Linked DNA regions of Drosophila melanogaster. The protein of the gene in region 3 interacts with the protein of the main gene of each other region in a pairwise test. Each region holds a gene or a part of one and is shown on either strand. Other genes may lie near its edges. The genes, in order: CG2200, CG11164 and CG14692.

Region 1 (6,592 bases), on a different chromosome or scaffold from region 3:
ATTTGTATGCAAAATCAGGACAACACATTCCTGTTGCTGGTGAGATCGAAAGCATATACAATTTGAAGGCAGAATAATGTAATCACTATTTTACCTCTCAGATCTTCATGTACCGACTGGAGTCGCCCAGCAAGGGCGACGAGGATCCCTTCAAAGCACTGAAGACACTGGCCCTTGACTTGTCATCTAAGTACAAGACCGATGGCTCTCGGATCGCCTGGGTGTCCATCCGGCTGCCGGAGCAGCTGAGCGAACCGGTGGATCCGCAGAGCTGGCTGCTGCACGCCTCCATGTATGGACCACGCCAGCTTCTCAGTCTGGTGGTTGCGGATCTGGCACTGCCCAAACTGGGCCTCGAATCCCTCGTGCTGCTGGCCACGCCAGGCATGGTCTTCAAGGCGGACTTTCTGAATCGCGTGCGCATGAACACGATACAGGGCTTCCAGGTGTACGCACCAATCGGCTTCCAGATGTACCCATGCCGCTGGGCGCATTTCTGCCGTGAGTGCGACACCTGCGACGTGAGCCAGAGCAGCGGTTACTTCGATCGCCATAACCACGACGTGATCGCTTTCTATAGTCGGGATTATGTCCAGGGTGAGTGATGGAGGAAACTTTTCCAGTTAATTGGACTTTTATTTACTCCATACTCCTTCCGCTTCAGCTCGCAAGCTCTTACATCCGCAGGGACTGCCGATCATACGCAGCGACCTGGACATCGACCAGCTGCTGCTGCAGCCTGGCGAGGAGACGCGACCACCGGGCGTGGAAAGCATTCTCGATATGTTCGTGGCGGCACAGCACTCGGTGCATATACTGCGCGGAGTGGAACCGAATTTGCGCTTCGGCCAGGATGTGCGGAATCACTTGGCACGCGGAGGAACGCTGCCGCAGAGCGTGCCGGAACGCTGCGGTCGGGAGCAGTGCATCCACCTGGCGTCGCGCAAGCAGATCGGCGACGCCATAATACGCTACGAGGACAAAAGTATTCTACACAAATAGTTGGGATCCGAAGGCTCCTTTCCAGCTCCAGCTCCAGCTCCTGCCTGTAATATCATCAGTTCCTTTTTAAGATATTCCCATTGTGTACATGACCGTGTGATTGATTGAGCTGAACGAATGAATGTGATCCCTGTGTGCGTGTGTGTGTGTGTGTGTGTGCATGCCAACTCTTATACTCGCATCCAAGGCTTAAATTAAATCCTATTCATAAATGAAATGATGGTGGGACTGGGACCCAAGTATAAGACCAGCAGTGGACCTATCTCAATCCGAACTTAGTGTTTTGGGCCTAGGCGATTCCCGTTGTTGCTTGCTTTAAAGTGAAACTTTCAATGCTCAAAAATGGTAGACACAGCAATTAGTTAGTTGGTTAGTTAGTTATTAACGTAGCGTAGTTTTAGCTGCCAAAACTCGTAGGACAAATGTGGGACACTTGTTGTTCGAGCCATTCAACAGACATTCGATTTTCGCATGTAAATACTTAGCATACGCCACATATCTCTATTAACGATTCCTAATAAGTTACGCAGGCAGCATTGCACCATTGACTCCTATTTAAACGACTAGTTAAGCTAAGTGTTATACAACTAAACTAATCTAAGTGAAACGAACGATTTGGCTGTACGACAAATAACCAGATGCCGCCTTGCCTCAAAGTGTTACAATCCCTGTATAAATGGGCTCTCTCAAAGACGGTGTGCCAAAAAAAAAAACAAAAAACAAAAAGGAATTACTGTTAAAAAACTGGTCTAAATCGGGGAGTGCTTACTTTGACCGTGTTCCTCTTTAAAAGTTAGAGCTTAAGTCTTAGCATCGGCTGCCTGAAAACATAAACCATAATTCTATCGAAACTTTGCCTACAAAATAACAATCCAAAAGTATTGCTAGCTATCAGGGCTTTTGTGGCAATGAAAAAGCCCATTGTAAATAAAAAAAAATATATATATTGTTTAAGTGCTTGCCAGTTTCATTTAGCCGATGTCCATTGTTAGTGTATCCATGTTATCCATTTGATCATTTTGCCAGCACATCAGTTTTAGCATCGAATAAGAAGTCTGCCAGTCAAATTCTTATCATTACGATTTACGAGGGGAAATCCGATTAATTTATTACAAAATTTATTAGATATATGTACACTCGTCAGGGGTTATACCTCTATCCAAACTTTTTATACATTTAGTCATAGTGTACAACTACTGTATGTGTACTGCTTACGTGTAGGAATTGTTGTTATTGCAGAATAAAACAAATTATGAATGTGCATATGTACAATAAACATCAATGTTCTCTTTAATTCGATCGTTTTGCTTGGTTATTTCTGCAGCAGGAAGGTGAGATCCGCTAGGGGTGCTAGCTCCTCGGTGCCACCGTCACTGAAAAATAAACGAAAATAAATTACATTTAAATTGTATAAATAACATTAAAGTTATTTGAATGTAAGAAACCATGAAACCCAATTTGTCCGATTGGAAGTGTGTACTTACGCCTTGAACAGCTTGGCATTGCGATCGCCCAGGAGGATGGCCTTCTCGCCCTGAACCCGGACACTGGTGCCCTCGCGAAGACCCAGCACGGGCAGTCCATGGTATGCGACGAACTCCTCCAGCCGCTCGTCTCGCGTCTCGCCCTTGTGCCGACTACCCGCCTCCGGATCCAGATAGTGCGGATTGATGTTGAAGGGAACGAGGGCGAGTGCCTCAAAGCTCGGCGGATAGGCCACCGGCATGTCGTTGGTGGTGTGAATGGATCGAGTTGCCACATTTGTGCCCGCACTGCTGCCCACGTAAGGCAATCCACGCTGGAGCACCAGTTCCCTAATCGGATCGAGCAACTTCATCTCGTAGAGCGAACGCAGCAGCACAAAGGTGTTGCCGCCGCCCACAAAGATGGCCTGTGCCTCCCGCAATGCCTGCTCGCGATCCGGCTTCGTGTGCAGTCCCTCCACATTGAATCCCCACGGCTGCAGTGCATCGCGCACGGTGGCAGTGTACTTGTCGTGATCCCGCAGAGCGTAGGGCACAAAGAGCACGGTCTTCACATTGGCACTGCAAGGAATCGGAGGGTTTGTTCAATTTACCAATGAAAGAATTCACTTTGTTGTAAAAGAATAATAATGTACATATCTCAAATGGTAAGTCACCTACCTCTTGAAGAGATCCTCCAGCTGGCCGCGCGCATGCTCCAAGTATCCATGGCCGTGCAAACGCGACGAGGATAGCAACAATAGGTTCCGTGCACTGGCCATTTCTTTAGCAATCTAATCGTGGGCCAATGGATGGTTCACTGGATGGTTCAGCCAGTCGACCAGAAGATTATCAGGGTTTTATGGCCAGCCGCTAGGGATGGGCTCCAGAAATATCGGAGCAAGTAACTCCTCCATGCGAGCTTATCACAAGGCGCCGGAAAAGCATGGGTGTGGGTGAAATTCCATGAAAGGGGTTTATTTTCCAGAAATTTAACCACTCCATTAGCTGTATAAAGTAAATACTCTGCGTATCTGCGAGTTCTTCGATATCGATAGGAAACTCACGTAGTGCGGGAATGCCTTGCAAATCGCAAAGGTTCTCCACGTCAATGGAACCCTGATACCAGATGAAAAGCTATCGATACCATATATCTATATATGTACATACATATCTACGATTTCCATTTGGTGCATCGTTGCACTCATGATGCACTGAAATCGGCCGCAATTTTTGAATTTCAGCTGGAGTATTTGGTTTTATTTGCCCATTTAGGCAATAACAAAATTCTTAAGATTGTGATACCAATCACATTGAGAATTTTCACCATTTGCAACGAATATTTCTCATACAAATACAACAGGATTTAGCTATTTTACGTAATATATATTTGTTAAACAATTATAATTATAAACACTTTCTTTTCGACTATTTTGGTGTTCAAAAGTTCACAAATTATCATTTAAGTTTAGTACGTTTTTACATTCAATGCTTTGCTTGCTTCTGTTCTTGTTTTTCGTTGACTAAGCTATTCTCATTTAAAAATATATATTAAAATGGTATTATGCTTCAAGACATCAGCAGCATCGCCAGCTGGGAGGCACGGTTCGGTTATCCATTTTTGAGCGTTGCAAGGCGATTGTTGCATTATGCATATTGCAGGTTTGCTAGTAACGGTTATGTTGCTGTTGCTTCTCTCACTTAAATTAATAATTATGCACTTTCCATTTTGTATCTTTAGATTAGCTGACGCTTATTGCTGATTGCTGTTGGGTTTGTTTTTGGGGTTTCCTTGGACTCCATTCAAATAAAGTTTTATTCCTTTTGCTGTCACACAGACGGGGGACACACACACAACATGTACGAAATGCATGCTAGAAGAAGACGGCGGCAATTTACACGGGCACGGGCACGGCTTAAGGGGTTAAGGGGGCGGCGCCATGGGTTAACCATTAACCTGCTACCCGGCCATTAACCTACTGCGCCGGCTGCGCGTCGGGCAGATCCAGTATCCTGGCCACGAACTCCGAGATGTCCGTGTTGCGCTGCAGGTGCTCCACGATGAAGCTGTGCTTGAGCAGCTGCTCGTAGTTGGGCCTTGCCATATACTCCTTCTGCAGGCAGACGGCGATGAAGTCCTCGAATTCCGGCGAAAATGTTCCCTCCGGCAGGCGCGGCGGACTGTCCTCAACCACCTAAAAGATAATAAAAAAAAAAATAGGTTCTTAATTACGCACGATGCGAAAACTTGTGGTTTAGATCGGTTACAAAATCCCTCTGATAAAAGCCTCATTCTGTATGTTTATTAATAGTTTTGTTTAGTATTCTGATAACCACAGCAGCTTGGCACATTACTAATGGTTTTTTTTAGAGTTTATTGTACGTGTAAAGTGCTTGAGAACAAGTGGTTATATTTTTAATTAAAATTACTTAATAGTTATTTGTGAGCCCCCAATAAGTTATGTAACGAAAGTTGGTTCTTGACATTAATATTAACAAAATCATTAGCAGGAAATAATAATACTCAGCATTTGCTTCGTATATGATTATGAGTGGCTATAACTACTATTTTTATACTATTTTCGACGGATTATCTGTGAAAAAACATAAGCTCCAATCAAACGTGTCAATTGATTATTAATTATCAAATTTTTAGAAATTCCACCCTTCTTAAAAGCTTTTAGCTACCACAATTGGAAAAATCCAAATGTTCATTACATATATGATAAGATGGAATACATTATCGGATCGGTAGCCTTTGTATAATTAGGACCTAAAATCCCAAATTGACTAAATGACACATATTTTGTCCGGAAAAATCTTGAAGATCCTCTTTGTGACAGTTACCAGCCAGAGGTAGGCACTCACCTGACGCAGTTGCTCAAATGGCGTTCGCCAATTGTCGTATGGGTAGCGGCCCGTGGCCATTTCGATCATGCCGATGCCCAGCGACCAAACATCCGACCTGATGTCGTATTGCGCCGGATTTCCTTGGGGATCGATCCGTTCCGGCGCCATGTACGGCTTGCAACCGGCATCAATGGTTTTGGCAATGGAGTCGACGAGGTAGCCTAAAAGTCAGTCCAATATTAGAATGATTACAGTGGCAAGAAGTCACAGAATGCCAGCCCACCTGAGATGCCAAAGTCACAGATCTTGACCTGGCCGGCCCGATTGATCAGTATGTTCGAGGGCTTGACGTCCCGATGAATGACTTTCAGTTGAGCGTGCAGATAGTGCAGCGCACTGACCACGCTCATGGCAATCTGTAAAGCAAAGGCAGTAGTACGGTAATAGTATAGTGGCGATTGCCCGATAAGATTAGACCCGCCCCCAATCCTCCCCAGCTGACCTTGCCCAGCACGCTTTCCTCCATTCGCAGATCGTGAAGGAAGACCTTCGGATAGAACTTGTCCAGGCTGGTGCTCATCACCTCCATGCAAATCCAGACATCGCCCTCGCGATACATCGCACCATAAAAGTGGACGGTGTAGGGGCAGTCGCTGGATCTCATCGATATGTCCAAATCCATTACAAGGCGGTGCTGTTCTCGAATATTTACGGTCATGGGTATGCGTTTGACGGCCAGGACCGTATCGGTTTGCTTATGGCGCATCTTATCCACGATGCCATAGGCGCCACGGCCCAGATCGCAGATCTTCTCGAGACTATCTGCATCGATGTCAAAGGTCCGGTCGCCAATTTGGATGGTGGCCCGCGAGTCCAGGTTGCGTGGCGGGACTCTAAAAGGATTGCCGAATGTAGTTCAATTCACAATTCGTTTCTGGCCAGGATTTGACCATTTTGACTTACATGGCGGCCTCTGGCTCCTTGGCAATGGTAAAGGGCGTGAGGCGGTGGCGTTTGGACATTTTGGTAGGCCCTTCTATATCCTATATCCTATATGCTATATGCTATATATACCCTCTCCTCTCCACGACTTTCCTTGGTGTTTTCTGGCGGATTCTGCAAGACTTGGCGGTTCGGTGCGAATCGGATGCGATGCGGTGCGGCTATTTTTACCGCATTTGGTCAGGTCAGGATTCGGATGCGGGTCGGTGATATGGGGATCGGATCGGTGTGGATCGTGTGGCCCGGGTTTTGCCGCCCAACCTTTCGCTATTGCC
Region 2 (6,948 bases), on a different chromosome or scaffold from region 3:
TAAGTATTTTAATAGGAAATTCCTTATCACAATACCCACCTGCCACACAGCTGTTGTTCACAAAGATGTCGCTGAGACTGCTGCTGCTATTCGCCATATACCGGAAGTGCTGATCACTCTGGGACTGAAGGTAGCCCACACCAACGCCCACGCCAACTCCCTCCTCGTGAGATGCATGCAGCCGCGTGCTGTAGAGCGCTGCTCCGCCCGGTGCACTGCCCAGTGCCACGGTGGCATAATGCTGGGCCTGCGTCTGGGCGGGCATCAGTCTCGGCTGATAGGCATCCGTTTCCACCAGCTGGGATGCCGATCTCGGCATGGCGTAGTGCACAGATGCCAGCGGAGCATTTGGCACCTGATGCGATGGCGCCTGTTGTTCCACAGATCTCAGATGGCCATTCCCGTGTCCATGGGCATTTGCATTGGCATTGACATTAGCATTGGCATGCGCATGGGCATGGGCCACATAATGATGCAGTCCTAACTCCGGACTGGCTGCCCGTGAGTATGGTGGTGGCACCAGGGTATTCGCCTCATTCGCATTGCAAATGAAGCTGGAGCTTAGGGAGTCGACGGTGCTGGCCGCACTCAGGGATCCCCCGGCAGCCGGACGGACGATGTAGTTCCGGAAGTACTGCACCATCAGGTAGCTGGAGCTGCCGTTGCCCTTGCCATTGCCCGAATCGCTGTTGCAGGTGAAGACAAGTGGATACAGATCCGGCTTGGAGGTCACCTGAGAAGATGGAAATTGTTAAGCGAATCGATTCCGGTCATGTATATGATTACATTACCTCCGTATATGGCGGCGGCGGATGGTGAAACGAGTTGCAGCGACTATATTGTGGTGGTGCATAGCAGGAGCCGGCGGAATCGCCCTCGGATTGGGTGTGGTGCTCATTGAATCCCCAGCCGCATAGTGTCCGCCGCTTCTTCCATAGTGAGTAGGCACACAGGATGGCCAAGATGATGGCCACAACCACGCACCTGCAATAAGAATATAGATTTTCAATCAATCTTTGTAATATCAAAGTGAGGATCGTTATTCACTGCTCGGTTTGCAGCTGGCGCGACTGAATGAAGAAGCCCATTGGAGTAGTGGATGCGGATGTGGGTGCGGATACGGATCCGGATCCGTGTCCTGCTGTTCCCGTAATCGAATTCCGACTGAAATTTGTTTGCCTTTTCGATGGCCAAGAGATGGGATTATATGAGCTGGGTGGCGGTGTGCGGGTTCCGTTTGTGTCTCATTAGTTGGCATTGCCATTTCCACAGCCCCCAAGGGAGGTGGTCGGTACTATGTGCTGGTCGCACTGATGGTAGTGGTGGCATAGCACGGGGGTACAGCTTGCATAAGCCTCTCGACTTGACTCGACATTTGACTTGACGCAACCCCGTCGCTGGGCGCCACCTTTTCTGCCAATAATAATAATATCTCTCGCATGGCACACAATGCCAATCAGCTGGAAGTCCGGCCAGAGCACACTGAAAACCCACGCCATCCAATCCATCCCACCATTCCAACGCCCCAAAAACCCGCCTCATTGAACGGCCTTGCAGACGACCTCCGGGGAATCCCCAAACACAAAAACAAAAACAGTGCAATTCATGATGACCGTGACCATCGCAGTAGCTAAATAAATCACTTCTACTTTGCGCAATTAAAAGAATCACTGTCTCCGAAAGATTCCTATTATTTTACAATTTCGAATAGATAAGTTAGATAGACAGAGAAGTTTCCAAAAGGAGGAGTTTCTCCGGGTCAACACTACTCACCAGAAAAACCAGTGGGTGGCGAAGAACAGATTGAGAACATGCGAGTCCGAGGAGGGCGGAAGGGGGCGTGGCCCGCCCTGGTACGGCGGACAGCAGCCCTGGGTGCAACAGCCCTGAGTGCAGCCCTCGCAAAATCTGGCAGACACCTGGGAAAATGGAACAAGACATTGCATATATTATTCGTTTAATCATGAGAAATATTTGCACATTTTTTATGATAAAAAATAATGTATTCCACTTTTTGTCGATACACCTTTGAAATTGTCATTGCCAATAAATAAAGAATATAAACAACAGCTTGTTATTTTTGTGGTGTTTTTGTATAGCGAGCGACCACTGTACTGCGCCCTTGTTCTTGTGCTCATATTTATGTTTGTGTGCTATGCATTTATTACCGTTGGGAAAGCAATCGCAATCAATTTAAAATTCAAATGTGCATGCAACATGGATGCGCTTGCGTTTATTTAAAAAACTTTTTACAAAGATTAGCTGTTATCTTTTTTTAAGGCGTTTCGTGGGCCCAAATTGCAACAAGCGCACAATAATTGTATTTAATCAAAATATTACAGTGTTGAAAACCAAAGTTTAAATTGCTCGCACATACAAAGGTTCCCAAAAGCATGCAGTGAAACGTATAGTGTCTTGTTTTAAATGAATTCACAAGCGATTTTTATCACCTTGACAATTTACATGTGTAAAATGCGCTTAAAAATTAACTACAGCATAACATTTCGTTGTTTTTCGGTTATTATGCTAGTTTGAGTGCTTGCAACATTGATGAAATGAAGGGCACTTACGTTCGCTGGCAGCAGCCCCAAAAGGAGGAACAAGGAGAGCAGGAGACACTGCAGCGCGTTTGTGTGCGAGGGAGAGGGACGGAGCCACATCTTTCTCAGCCGCTGACGCTGCCTCAGTCGACGCCGCTGTCGCAGTTGCTGCTCGGACTGGCGCCAAATGTCCTACGGGGCTGGTGAGGGGAGGAGGTGCGGGGAGTGTGTGCCTCTCCCTTATTTTCTTCGATTCTTCGCTTTCTTCTTGTCGCAGCCTCCGTTTTGTGTCCGTTTTGGCCCTCGTGTGCGATTTGTTCCTGTCTTTTGTTTTGCTTTCCTATCTGGCTTTCTACTTGCTTCTTTTGCTGTTGATACTTTGCAGTTCCGTTATTTGTACCACATGCTGTTGTTGCTATTGTTGTTGTGGTCGGACTCACACAAACAGCGCTTTGTTTTGTCCTTGACAGACGCCAAATGCAATTTACCGTAGCATGCTTTTGTGCGTTGCGTTGCGATTGTTGGTGTTGCTGCCGTTGTTGTTGCTGCTGCTGCAGAGAAGAGAGAATTTGTTGCTAACTGAGTGCTGCATTGTATTATTTATCTTATGCCACACCAACCACAACACATTCGCACACACACATACACACACACTAAGGCACAAACACCTCGACGACGCCAAAGAAAATTTTCTTTCGTGTGACGCCACTCTTTTCCTTTCTCTGCCTTTCACAATTTAAACTTGAGCACTGGCTTTGGGACACACGGCTAACGGGAAAATTCACTAATGTAACCCCTGTAATTGTTGTTCCGAAAATTCAAGGCATATAGAAAACAACAACAACAACAAGAGCAGGAGTAGCAGGATATTCGGTTGCGGGCGAATGGGTAACGGGGGTGGCGAAATGCGAATCAAGGCGCAAAGCGGAATTCACCGTTAGCCTCGAACGTGGGAGCGCGCACAGCAACAACTGAGCGACAAAAACGGAAACAAAGGAGCCAGCAGCTTTGTAACTGACGGCCAGGATTGCCACCCCGCGCAATGAACTAAGGATTGAAATCATATGTGTTGCATGAATCCCCAAAAATTAATTTCGTTTCTAGTTAGTTTTATTAGTATACTCTGATTTCATATGTTTAATTAGCATTACTTAATATGCTTATATGGTATACCTAAAAAAATATGTCGACTAAGAAACTCTTTATTCGCAACATTTGGCACTGAAGCCTCTAAGTAAACCAATTCCTTAGAAGCCTGGCAACGCCAACAGCTGATGGGGATTTACCAAACGGAATCAAGAGAGATGATCAAACAGCGCATGCGCCAAAAAGGCGCACTTTCAAAATACCAAATTTATGAATACAAATCTTAAAATAACAAAAGTAATTCTTTAAAGTACTATATTCATTGTAAAAAAAAGTGTACATTTGTATTAAATAGAGTATATATATAAAATAAGGAGTTAAAACCTATTCTTAAGATCTGTGAAACGTTAATCTACTTCGCTTTGAAAAACGATGCGATGCTTTTAGTGCCCTTGGCTCCTTTGGCCAGGGCCTTCTCCTTGGCGGTCAGCGAGCGCTCCTTCAGAGGCGCCGCTGTGGGCGATGTGATGGTGGCATTGGGATCGCCATCGCTGTCCACTAGACCGCTGGACTTTAGCTTGGCAGCAGCATCGCTCTCATTTAGCTTGATCTTCTTGGAGTCGCTGCCCTCGTTCTTGCCCGCCACCGACTTGCGCTTCTGAGAAGCTGCTTTCTCCTCAACAATCGCCTGAATCTCGCTAGGAATGTGCAGGTAACTGGTGAGCAAGCCGTGCAGATCCGCATCCAAATACCGTCCCACATAATCGCAAGCCATGCGCGTGTAGTCCATTTCGTTGCTAACGTTCTCAGCTACCAGTTTCTCGCTTCGCACGAAATTCTGCGACTGCGCACTGTGGCCGCAGTGGACTTGCTTCTCCTTCAGGATCTTCGCCACCTGGCGCGTCTTCAGAGCCAACCAAGCCAATGTGCGCTCTTGGTTGTACTTGTAGAACTTCTGTTCGCCAGAGCTCTTCACATCTGCCACGCATTTAAGGTTCCCTGGGTCGAGGATCTCGTTAAGCAGACGACTGGTGCTGGCCTCCTCCACGGCAATGTTGTCCAGCGATATTGCTCCTGATTGTGGTTAAAGATTTTCAAGAATACAATAGTATAGTATACCATCGAAAGCGAATGATAATATCTTACTTTGCGCACAATGTTTTCGGAGGTGATGAAGAGCCAGGAACGTGGGATCCACGGGCGCGGTCATGTAGATTCTGCCGTTGGAGCAGACCTCGCTGTCCACGAACCAACTGCGTCGGGGTTCCGTGAACGCCACCAGCTCCATCATTCTGCCATCGGGATGGGTTATGAACAGTGCCTCCTTGCCATGTCCGGGATGGAAAAACATCTCCAGCCGAAGGTGTCCGTCGTCCGCATCTTTGGGCAGCAGTTCCTCCGACATGAAGAACACCTTCTTCAGTGCCGAGGCCTTGCACATCTTGGCAGATCCCTCCGCATCCGGATCAGCTTTTGGTTTTCTCGCTCGCGTTTCCTTTTTGCCCATTTTCTCGAATAACTTGCCAAGCGTGAAGCAAAAGTCAATAACTGTGGACCGAACCAAAACAAACGATTTGCCGCCTTTTTGGTTATTGATAGAAGTCTATCGATTAATTTTGGTATTTTATATAGTCTGCTAATTTTAACTTGTTCCTATAAACTATTTTATCTATTTTATGCCAAATAGAAGAGCTTAAAAATTAAATAATCTCTGCCACTAACGTCCGCATCTTAATATTGCAACTAGTCTAAAATGGGTATTAACTTTGATTGAGAAGCGCGGTCACATTGCTTGAACAGATGTTCACAGTGATGAAATTGTTTACAACAGTATATTGTTTTTAAACAACAAAATGAGCGTAGATATAGCCAGCACGATCAAGTTCCGGGATATTTGCAGCCTGTTCGAGAAGATTAAGGCCACGCAAAAGGTGGCTAACAAGGAGGAGGTCCTCAAGAGCTACTACGAGTCCTTCTGTCGCCACCGCGAATCCTTTCGCCGGCAAACCGGATTAAACAACGACCAGCCGGAGGACGGTGCCAGTAGCTTCTATTCCGTGCTGCGACTGCTGCTTCCGGGTGCGGACACTGGTCGGGATACCTATGGATTGCAGATCACCGCGCTGGGCAGGCTCTACATCAGGGTGCTCCAGCTACCCACGGACTGTGAGTGCAGAAACGTATTGGCAATGGCATTTAGGCTTATTTAGAATCTCTTTGTTGTCTCTACTAGCCAGCGATGCCATCAGGCTGCAGCACCGCAACGGAAACATGTACCGGGACTACGGTGATGTTGTTTATTCCGTGCTTAAGCCAAGGTGCTTTAATCCGCCCAGCAATTTGAGACTGAAAGAAATCCATCAGATGCTGGACACCATTGCCAACGAGGACACAGAAGGTGGGCGCTTTTAAACTGATCTGAACGACTGAACGTCTTAATGAGACCGCTCTTTGCAGTTAAGCAGCAGCAACTCATCCGGTTTACGGAGCAGGCCTCGCCTGAGGAACAGAAGTGGCTAATTCGGTTGCTGCTTAAGAGCCTCGGGCTGGGGATCGGTGAGCAAAAGATTTTCGGTGTGCTGCACCCCAAGGCGCAGGATATCTACCAGCGCTGCTCCGATCTGGGACATGTGTGCAATCTGCTGGCAGACCGAACCACCGACCTAGACGCCAGCAGCAGCAAGGACAGCAAGGCGGCGGTCAAGTTTGTAAACCTGAATTCCGTCATACGGCCATTCCACCAGATACGTCCCATGCTGTGCGAACGATTCCCCGGTGACATCCAGGAGCTGATGCAGTCGGATGTGCTCTATCTGGAGACCAAAATGGATGGCGAACGCTTTCAGCTGCACATCGATCGGGGTCGTTTCATGTACATTTCCCGCAATGGAGTGGACTACACCAGAAACTTTGGTCACAGCTACGATCACGGCACCTTAACGCCAAAGCTGAGGGGACTTCTGCCGCTGGGTCTGGAGTCTATCATACTCGACGGCGAGATGATGGTGTGGGATACCAACAAACTGCGCTTTCGGGAAAAAGGCGAGAATACGGACGTGAAGAGCCTGAAGCCGGAGGGCAGCTGGCAGCCATGTTTCGTGGTGTACGATCTGCTATATTTTAATGGCCAGAGTCTGCTGGACCATACCTACATTCAGCGGGCGTACAAATTGCAGAAACTCATAGTTGAACAGTCGGGTGTGCTGCAGTTGATGCGTGCACGCAAAATCGGTTCCGTTCAAGAGTTCAACGAGCTGTTCCAGCAGGCACTCGACTCCCACGCCGAGGGCATTGTGCTAAAGAAGCAGGGATCAAGATATCA
Region 3 (7,836 bases):
TTCTTTTTCTGATGAAGGTCTTTCATTAAGTGATGTTGATTTTTCTTTTTCTGATGAAGGGTTTTCATCAAGTGAAGTTGACTTTTCTGTTCCTGATGAAGGTTTTTCATCAAGTGATGTTGACTCTTTTTCTGGTGAAGGATTTTCAACAAGTGAAGTTGAATTTTCTTTTTCTGATGAAGGTCTTTCATTAAGTGATGTTGATTTTTCTTTTTCTGATGAAGGTTTTTCATCAAGTGAAGTTGACTTTTCTTTTTCTGATGAAGATTTTTCATCAAGTGAAGTTGACTTTTCTGTTCCTGATGAAGGTTTTTCATCAAGTGATGTTGACTCTTTTTCTGGTGAAGGTTTTTCATCAAGTGAAGTTGAATTTTCTTTTTCTGATGAAGGGGTTTCATCAAGTGAAGTTGACTTTTCTTTTTCTGATGAAGGTTTTTCATCAAGTGAAGTTGACTTTTCTTTTTCTGATGAAGATTTTTCATCAAGTGATGTTGACTTTTCTGTTCCTGATGAAGGTTTTTCATCAAGTGATGTTGACTCTTTTTCTGGTAAGGGGTTTTCATCAAGTGAAGTTGAATTTTCTTTTTCTGATGAAGGCAGGTTTTCAAGTAAAGTTGACCGGTCGTTTTCTGCTAAGTATATATGGATTTTGATTGAACTGTTGAATTGTAAACAAATACTATTATATTAAATTACCTGTGATATCAATAATTTCTTCAACAGCTCTGTTTTCGTCTTGAAAAATAAAATAAAACCATCTTATTTCATAATCTATGTCAACGAAAAATGTATACGTATGTACCTCCTGCATCCTCTAAAGATTCCTTCGATTTTCCTGAAATTTTGCGATCTTCAGCGTGCAAAGACTCCGATTTGGTTGGACTAGTTTTTTCCTCCGATTGTTCAAATACAGTTTTCAATTGCCCAATCTCACCTTCTAGTTTCATATTTTCGACTTGATCAGAGTCCAGATTGGTTGAAGCCATTTCTTCTCGATTTTCAACATGTTTCGTTTCAGATTCCCTAATTGATATATCACCTACATTTAGATATATAAATATAAGAATGTGTTATTCCAAGAACTATATTAAAAGTTAGTTACCATCAATAACAGAGAGTTCTGCGCTAGCTGCTGTGTTCTGAATATCATTATCATCTATTCCTTTTAAGTTAAAAAACAATATTGTTAAGTTATTATTCTTCATTTGTTCGAACTAGAGATTCACTTACCTGAGGATGTAACAGAAATGTGAGAAGCCAATAAATGTTTTTCGTTTTTCAAATCAGTTTTTTCAGTAATGTCATCAACATTTTGTGATTCATTGTTATTTTCTTCGGAATTAGTTTTACTGAAAAGGCTGTTTTTATCGTTTTTATCTGTAGACAACAATCCCTTAGTTTCTAAACTTTCGGGTTCTATTGGAGTGACTTCCTCTTGTGTCAGCATTTTTATTTTATCCTTTAAGTTTTCTAGTTCTTTTGGGGAGTCATCAGATTGAGGTTTATCTTAAAATTGCACAAGAAAGGGATAAAAATAATTATCAAATATTTAATAAGTTTACGTACCCGTTTCTTCAACATTTTCTTTAATGTTTTGTTTGGACAAATCAGTTTCGGAATGTATTATATCTTCAAGGACCTCTTTCGTTGTCTCTAATTCATCAATTGATTTTGATTCTTTCTTTGCTTCTATAAATGTTTGTTTTGTGTGATTAATATTTTACAATATTTTTTAACTTACCTGGCATCTTTGAATCCTCTGCTAAGCTTGAAGTACTATCTTTAACAATTTTATCTTCAGATGGTAAATCCTCCATTCGTTCTTGTTTATTTTCCGATACTAATGTAAAATGTGTTGGTCAATATAAGAAATATAAATCATTTTAATATTTACCAGTTTTAAGCACTTTGCTCAACGTTATTTCATGATTTGATAACTCAACGGTTTCATCTAATGGCTCTTCTTTATTCATCTCTAATTTTTCAGTGCTGCCGGAAACTTCATCATCTTTTGTATTTGGTGTTGTTTTCGGCACATCTTCCACTTTAGGTATTATTTCCGGTTTTCTATCCAACTCCAGTGTCTGGTCATTGTTTATCTTAAGTTGTTCCTGATCAATTGGGCTTTCGGCAATCAACACATTCTGAGAATCCGAATTCAATTGAACATTGTCTTCATATTCAATACTTCTCTTTTCTCTAATCTTTTCATGTGTGTCTGAAGACTGTATCATCTCATTTGAATCTATATCTTGCTTTGCTGCAGCTGCTTCAAAATTTATGTCGACTATAGTTTCAGCAGATGTTTCTAAATAGGTGTTTCTAAATGTAATTTAAATTATGTATTAAATTATTATCTTGCGTACCTTGCTCACAACCTTCTAGATTATGATTAATAAGAATGCTTTTCAAGCTATCTACTTCTACGTTGGGGATACTTTTAGGCTCTTCGGTAACAGATATCCCTTCAGTTAGATCATCAGCTAAATATATAGTTAGAACTTATTAAATCTTGATTACAAATGTAATAAGTGTACATACCTTTAGAATCATTGGGACTTGCGGATGAATCTTCCAAAATGTCTTCAACATGCTCAATTTCAATTGAAACTGTGGGAGTAATTTTATTTTTAAGTGAAATTTCCTGTAATTGGCTTTTAGAATTTTGAATTTTAGGCAGCGGAATTATTTCATCTTCTTTTTCGACATTTCTCGCATTATTAGATGAAGCGATAGCTGATTCCACAATATTTTCTTGTACATCTTCACTTTCTTTTTTCTCAGTGTTTCTATGCAATGCGCTGTCTTCTTCGCGATTTTCTCTAAGAAGATCACTGCTTGAGTCTTCAGCTTTAATTGCATCATCTAAGTCGTTTGCAAGTGGTTTATCTTTAGAGTCCACATGAGTTTCCTGTTCTGCGTCCAAGCTTTTATTCGATTTTAATTGATCCTCGCTTGCCGACTTATAGTCTTTACTTTTATTTTCAGCTTTCACCTCGACTTGAGATAGCGTTTCCAGATCTAGACTTGTTTTATTATCAACTATAAGTTCCGATTCAGAATCTTGAATAGTTTTCTTCTCATCAGTAATGTGCTCTTCAAGTTTAGCCGGTTGATGCTCGTTCACCTCTAACTCAACATCGATTTCTTTTGATTCGTTATTTAAATCCTTGATGTTTTGCAAATCAGGTTTGCAAATCATGCTTTCAATTAGGGCGCCGCTAAGAATTTCTGAAAAATTGTTACGTTTTATTAGATTACAACACGAAAATAAATAGTAACTTCTTCCTAAAGAATGAAATTTAATGGGAAAACATTAGCATAATTACCACTTTTCCGTAAATTTATCGACTTTTGTTCGCCCTTAATGGTTTCCGCAAAATACTCCTTCCTAAGGCCGGCATCAACGTTACTGTTCTCCACTTCTTCGTCCTCGTGAATTATTTTTTGATGGACTCGTTCCTCGAAGTTCGCCATTCCCAGTTCGGTGGATTCCGTTGAGAGCAGTGCGGTGGAAACGGATGTGTAGGATCCCGTCTCGGAGGCATTGTCATTGAGTTCCTCGGCTTGATCTGTCCCGATGGATGTGGTTCTTTTGGCCTTATGTCGTGCCACCATTCGCCGGTAGGCTCTTTGGATTATGATGGCTGCTGTTGCTAAGGATACTGGGCCATGTTTCAATCGATTTTGTTCCTGCTTCTTTTTCAAATATATGCGATAATGTCGTTGAATGACGACAACGGCTTTCATATAGTCGGCAGCTTTGGGTTTAGCATCGGCTTTTTGTGCGTCACGTGAATTTTTAAGTTCTGCCACTCGCTTTTTGGCCAAATAGCGACGCACCTGCCGTTGAATCAGGAGAATAGCTGCCACATAGTCCACGCTATTGCATTTATCCTTATCGCGACCTATTTTCCGCTCGTTGAGATATCGTCGAAAATGCCTTTGAATGATGACGACCGATTGTATGTAGCTAATTCTGCTGGAAAATTCTCGCTGATCGGCTTCGGCTAATTTGTTGTCTGTATATACGGATGCAGTGTTTTCCACATCCTTTCTATTCGCACTCAGTACTCGACCACACTCACAGGTTACTTTCGTTGCAGGAGCTAGGTGTTCTTTGTCCTTCAATGACTTTTCATAGGACGAGTACTTGCTGTACTCAATTCGACCCGACTTTTCCTTGGACATCCGCTGAAAGTACTCCTGTGCAAATATGTATATATTGTCCGGTTTTTCTCTCAAAACTGCTTTTATAAACTGTTTAATGAGGTCGGTGAGTTTTTCTGGTATTATATTAAACACCATGGACAGAGGAACTTGCTGACGTATGCGGTTTTTCATGATGGTTTCGTAAGTTTGTACCGGTTCGTATTTTCGCACCGATTGATGTGATTTTTCACCGACAATCATGTTGAAAAAGCTGGCCGAAAAGCCATACAAGTCAGCCGGCTTTTCACGTAACACCTCCTTGGTATAGACCTTCATTAGGTCCCGCAGTCCCTCGGGAACTCTTGGTAAACTCGCAGTCGTCATTTTGGTAACTCAGGCACCTTGCATGGGAAAATGTTGAATCAATACTGACCAACGAAGGTGTCCGAATGTCAATGGAAACCTCGATGGCTGGCAGTTGCCATGTCAACACCCTGGGTGCCAAAACATATCACCAGCTGACGTCGCTCCAACTTGTTGCGCCGACAAGGAATTATAAATGAAGTATAGGGTTTATTCTTGGATTCTATATATATATATATATATATATGATCAGTAATGACCCTTAATAACTGGAGTGTGACGCGGATTCTTACCAATAAATATTTTAAGATGTTATTACCTGAACCAAAAATGGTATATAGTGACATATTCACATACAAAACCACATAACGTAGAGTAAACATATTGAAAAGCCGCATACGTAAACAATAAGTGACCACCATGCTAATGTGGATCAAATAACAAAAATATCCACTCTGCATTTTGACACCCCCATACTGTATGCCATCTGCGCAGTATGCATTCTAATAAACAAATTCTTTGACAGCGGCACTTAGCCATTCTTGTAAACAAATCTTAAAGTCTGCCTGCTCTCTCTGAGGCTTCTCCTCCACTTAAGAATCCAAAAGCAATGCTCTCCCAAAAACACTAACATATTCTTTAAGCAAGCACAGAGGCTTCTCCTCATTTTCACTTTCATTTGATTTTTAGTCTTAAGCTGAACGTTAATCAATAAACAACAAAATCGATCCCGAAATTTTGATTCGTTTTATTTTGGCAAAACTTAATTTTCAGCGTTGGTCTTAGTTCATATTCGGAACGGTCCATTTAATAGACTCAAAACTATTTATTGCAACCATTTATTTGCAATTGGCGCAGTCGATGTGATCAGTGTTAAAGTTCCTTGATGCGGTAACCAGATTTGCCAATTCCTGTGTTCTTTTTGTTCTCTGACAAAAGTACCACGCTAACGGGCACCCACGTGACGGTTAATATCGCTTTAAGTTTTTAATTAAACCTCGACAATAAAGTGAAACCGAAAAATCACAATTTGCCTAAACAAACCTGAATTTATTATCAGGAAGACGCTATTGAATTTGTGAGAGGCTGTAAATCCAATTGGTTACCTCAAAGACCCACGAAAAAGCTATAGTGCAACCCTTGTGAAAATCAAAACCTATCTTAAAAAAAAAAAAAAAAAAATATAAATAATAAATTAATAAGCGAAAATTAAAACGTATTAAAAGTAAGAATAATAAATAAATAAGTGAAAATTCTATATGATAAAAATTAAAAATAAGAATAATAAATAAAAAGACAACATTTTAAATTAAACAATATTAAAAAAATATAAAAATATTAAAAACTATATTAAAAAAAAAAAAAAAAAAAACAAAAAAAAAATACACGATAATAATAATATAATAACTAAATAATAATAATAATAAAAAAAAAAAATAAATAAAAAAAATAAATAAATAATCCAAAAATCAAAAATGGCTCAAGAACCAGCAATTGTGCCACCACTATCAGACAGCAACATGACCCAGGTTGCCTACCAGATTGGCAATGTGGAGAAATTCAACGGTGATCCAGGCTCACTATACACCTTTGTGAGTCGAATTGATTACATACTGGCTCTTTATGCTACCGGAGATGAACGCCAACAGCAGATCATATTTGGGCATATTGAACGCAGCATCAGCGGAGAAGTTATGCGCTGCATTGGAGCCTATGACATGTACACCTGGCAGCAGCTTAGAAGACAATTGGTACTCAACTATAAACCCCAGACCCCTAACCACGTTCTTTTAGAAGAGTTTCGAAAGACCCCATTTCGAGGCAATGTACGAGCATTCCTGGAAGAAGCAGAAAGCCGCAGACAAACACTTACTAGTAAGCTTGAATTAGAGCAAGATCTTGAAGAAAAGACTTTTTATTTGAAATTAATAAAATCCAGTATAGAATCACTAATTGAAAAATTACCTACACACATTTATTTAAGAATAAATAACCACAACATACCAGATTTGCGATCACTTATAAACCTTTTACAAGAGAAGGGCATGTACGAACAAATAAATCATACAAGTACACATGTCCAAAAACAAAATTTCTCTGATAAGCCACAAAAGTCCTTTAATCAAAATACTAATCAGTCTAACAATATCAGAAAATATCCAACACCTTTCCTACATTATAATTCACCAATACCATATCAAGCTCCACAAATTTATCAAACACCACCAACTAATAACCCACTTTATCGTCATCCAATACCCTACCACCCTAATCCAAACAATGTTTTCCAACCAAGCCAACAAAACAATGCTTTTCAACCAAATCAACGTACAAACTTTACATCTCGACCAATTTTTAACACCAATCGAAACAATGCATTCGATCAGAATAGGTTCGGACAACAACCCCAATATCAAAATCAACAATCAACACAAAATTCAAGTTCCTATGTACCCAATCGACCAATAAAACGATTAAGACCAGCTAATAGTGGACAGACTGGGATGAGTGTTGACGAAACATTATATCAAGAGGACGCTTTTTATCAGCAGTGTGTTCCATATGACTATTTTTATTATCCAACTTACGACCATTCAGACTATTATCCAGAAAATCAATATCAAATTGACGAAAACAACCAAAATTTACAAAGAACACAACAGTTACAGCAGATTAATACAGACGAGACAAACAATGACAACCAAGAACCCAATGTTGAACAGGCCGAAAATTTTCAGCCACAAGCCTTGGAAAACCCCAATATATAACAATTAAATACAAAGAAAATAATTTGAAATGCCTTATTGATACCGGATCAACAGTTAACATGACATCTAAAAATATATTTGATTTACCAATCCAGAATACTAGTACTTTTATTCATACCAGCAATGGACCGCTCATTGTCAACAAAAGTATAATCATACCTTCAAAGATTTTGTTCCCAACAACAAATGAATTTTTATTGCACCCTTTCTCTGAGAATTACGATCTTTTATTAGGAAGAAAACTTTTAGCAGAAGCAAAAGCAACAATAAGTTACCGCGATCAAGAGGTAACTCTTTACAACAACAAATACAAATTAATAGAAGGAATAGCAACACATGAACAGAGTCATTTTCAAATTGTAAATATGATACCTGACACCATGCTCAGACAGCCAAATAAAATTTCACCCATTTTAGAATCAGACCTATACAGATTGGAACATTTAAATAATGAAGAAAAACAAAGATTGTGCGCACTCCTGCAGCAATACCATGACATACAGTACCATGAAGGTGATAAGTTGACATTTACTAATCAAACCAAACATACTAT

Evidence for each region.
Region 1: the proteins of CG14692 (region 3) and CG2200 interact in a two-hybrid assay, tested with the Drosophila melanogaster proteins (one large-scale study listed by BioGRID).
Region 2: the proteins of CG14692 (region 3) and CG11164 interact in a two-hybrid assay, tested with the Drosophila melanogaster proteins (one large-scale study listed by BioGRID).

Annotation. Positions count from the first base shown.
Region 1 is NC_004354.4:13,091,228-13,097,819, reverse strand, and holds CG2200 (uncharacterized protein), read right to left. Parts: upstream 3,522-6,592; 5' UTR 3,248-3,521; coding exon 3,147-3,247; intron 3,048-3,146; coding exon 2,487-3,047; intron 2,376-2,486; coding exon 2,315-2,375; 3' UTR 2,088-2,314; downstream 1-2,087. Other genes in the region: Chpf (chondroitin polymerizing factor), read left to right, coding at 1-39, 102-597, 665-1,002; lic (licorne), read right to left, coding at 4,442-4,660, 5,334-5,536, 5,599-5,731, 5,818-6,208, 6,279-6,337. UniProt on the Drosophila melanogaster protein: Hydrolyzes dipeptides containing N-terminal aspartate residues.
Region 2 is NC_004354.4:13,666,272-13,673,219, reverse strand, and holds CG11164 (uncharacterized protein), read right to left. Parts: upstream 5,207-6,948; 5' UTR 5,134-5,206; coding exon 4,773-5,133; intron 4,701-4,772; coding exon 4,039-4,700; 3' UTR 3,647-4,038; downstream 1-3,646. Other genes in the region: CG15760 (uncharacterized protein), read right to left, coding at 40-733, 792-984, 1,774-1,919, 2,571-2,660; DNAlig4 (DNA ligase 4), read left to right, coding at 5,480-5,792, 5,860-6,024, 6,084-6,948.
Region 3 is NT_033777.3:10,799,374-10,807,209, forward strand, and holds the start of CG14692 (uncharacterized protein), read right to left. Parts: upstream 4,583-7,836; 5' UTR 4,537-4,582; coding exon 3,330-4,536; intron 3,232-3,329; coding exon 2,542-3,231; intron 2,484-2,541; coding exon 2,367-2,483; intron 2,309-2,366; coding exon 1,895-2,308; intron 1,841-1,894; coding exon 1,742-1,840; intron 1,690-1,741; coding exon 1,567-1,689; intron 1,507-1,566; coding exon 1,231-1,506; intron 1,163-1,230; coding exon 1,103-1,162; intron 1,040-1,102; coding exon 803-1,039; intron 736-802; coding exon 697-735; intron 630-696; coding exon 1-629.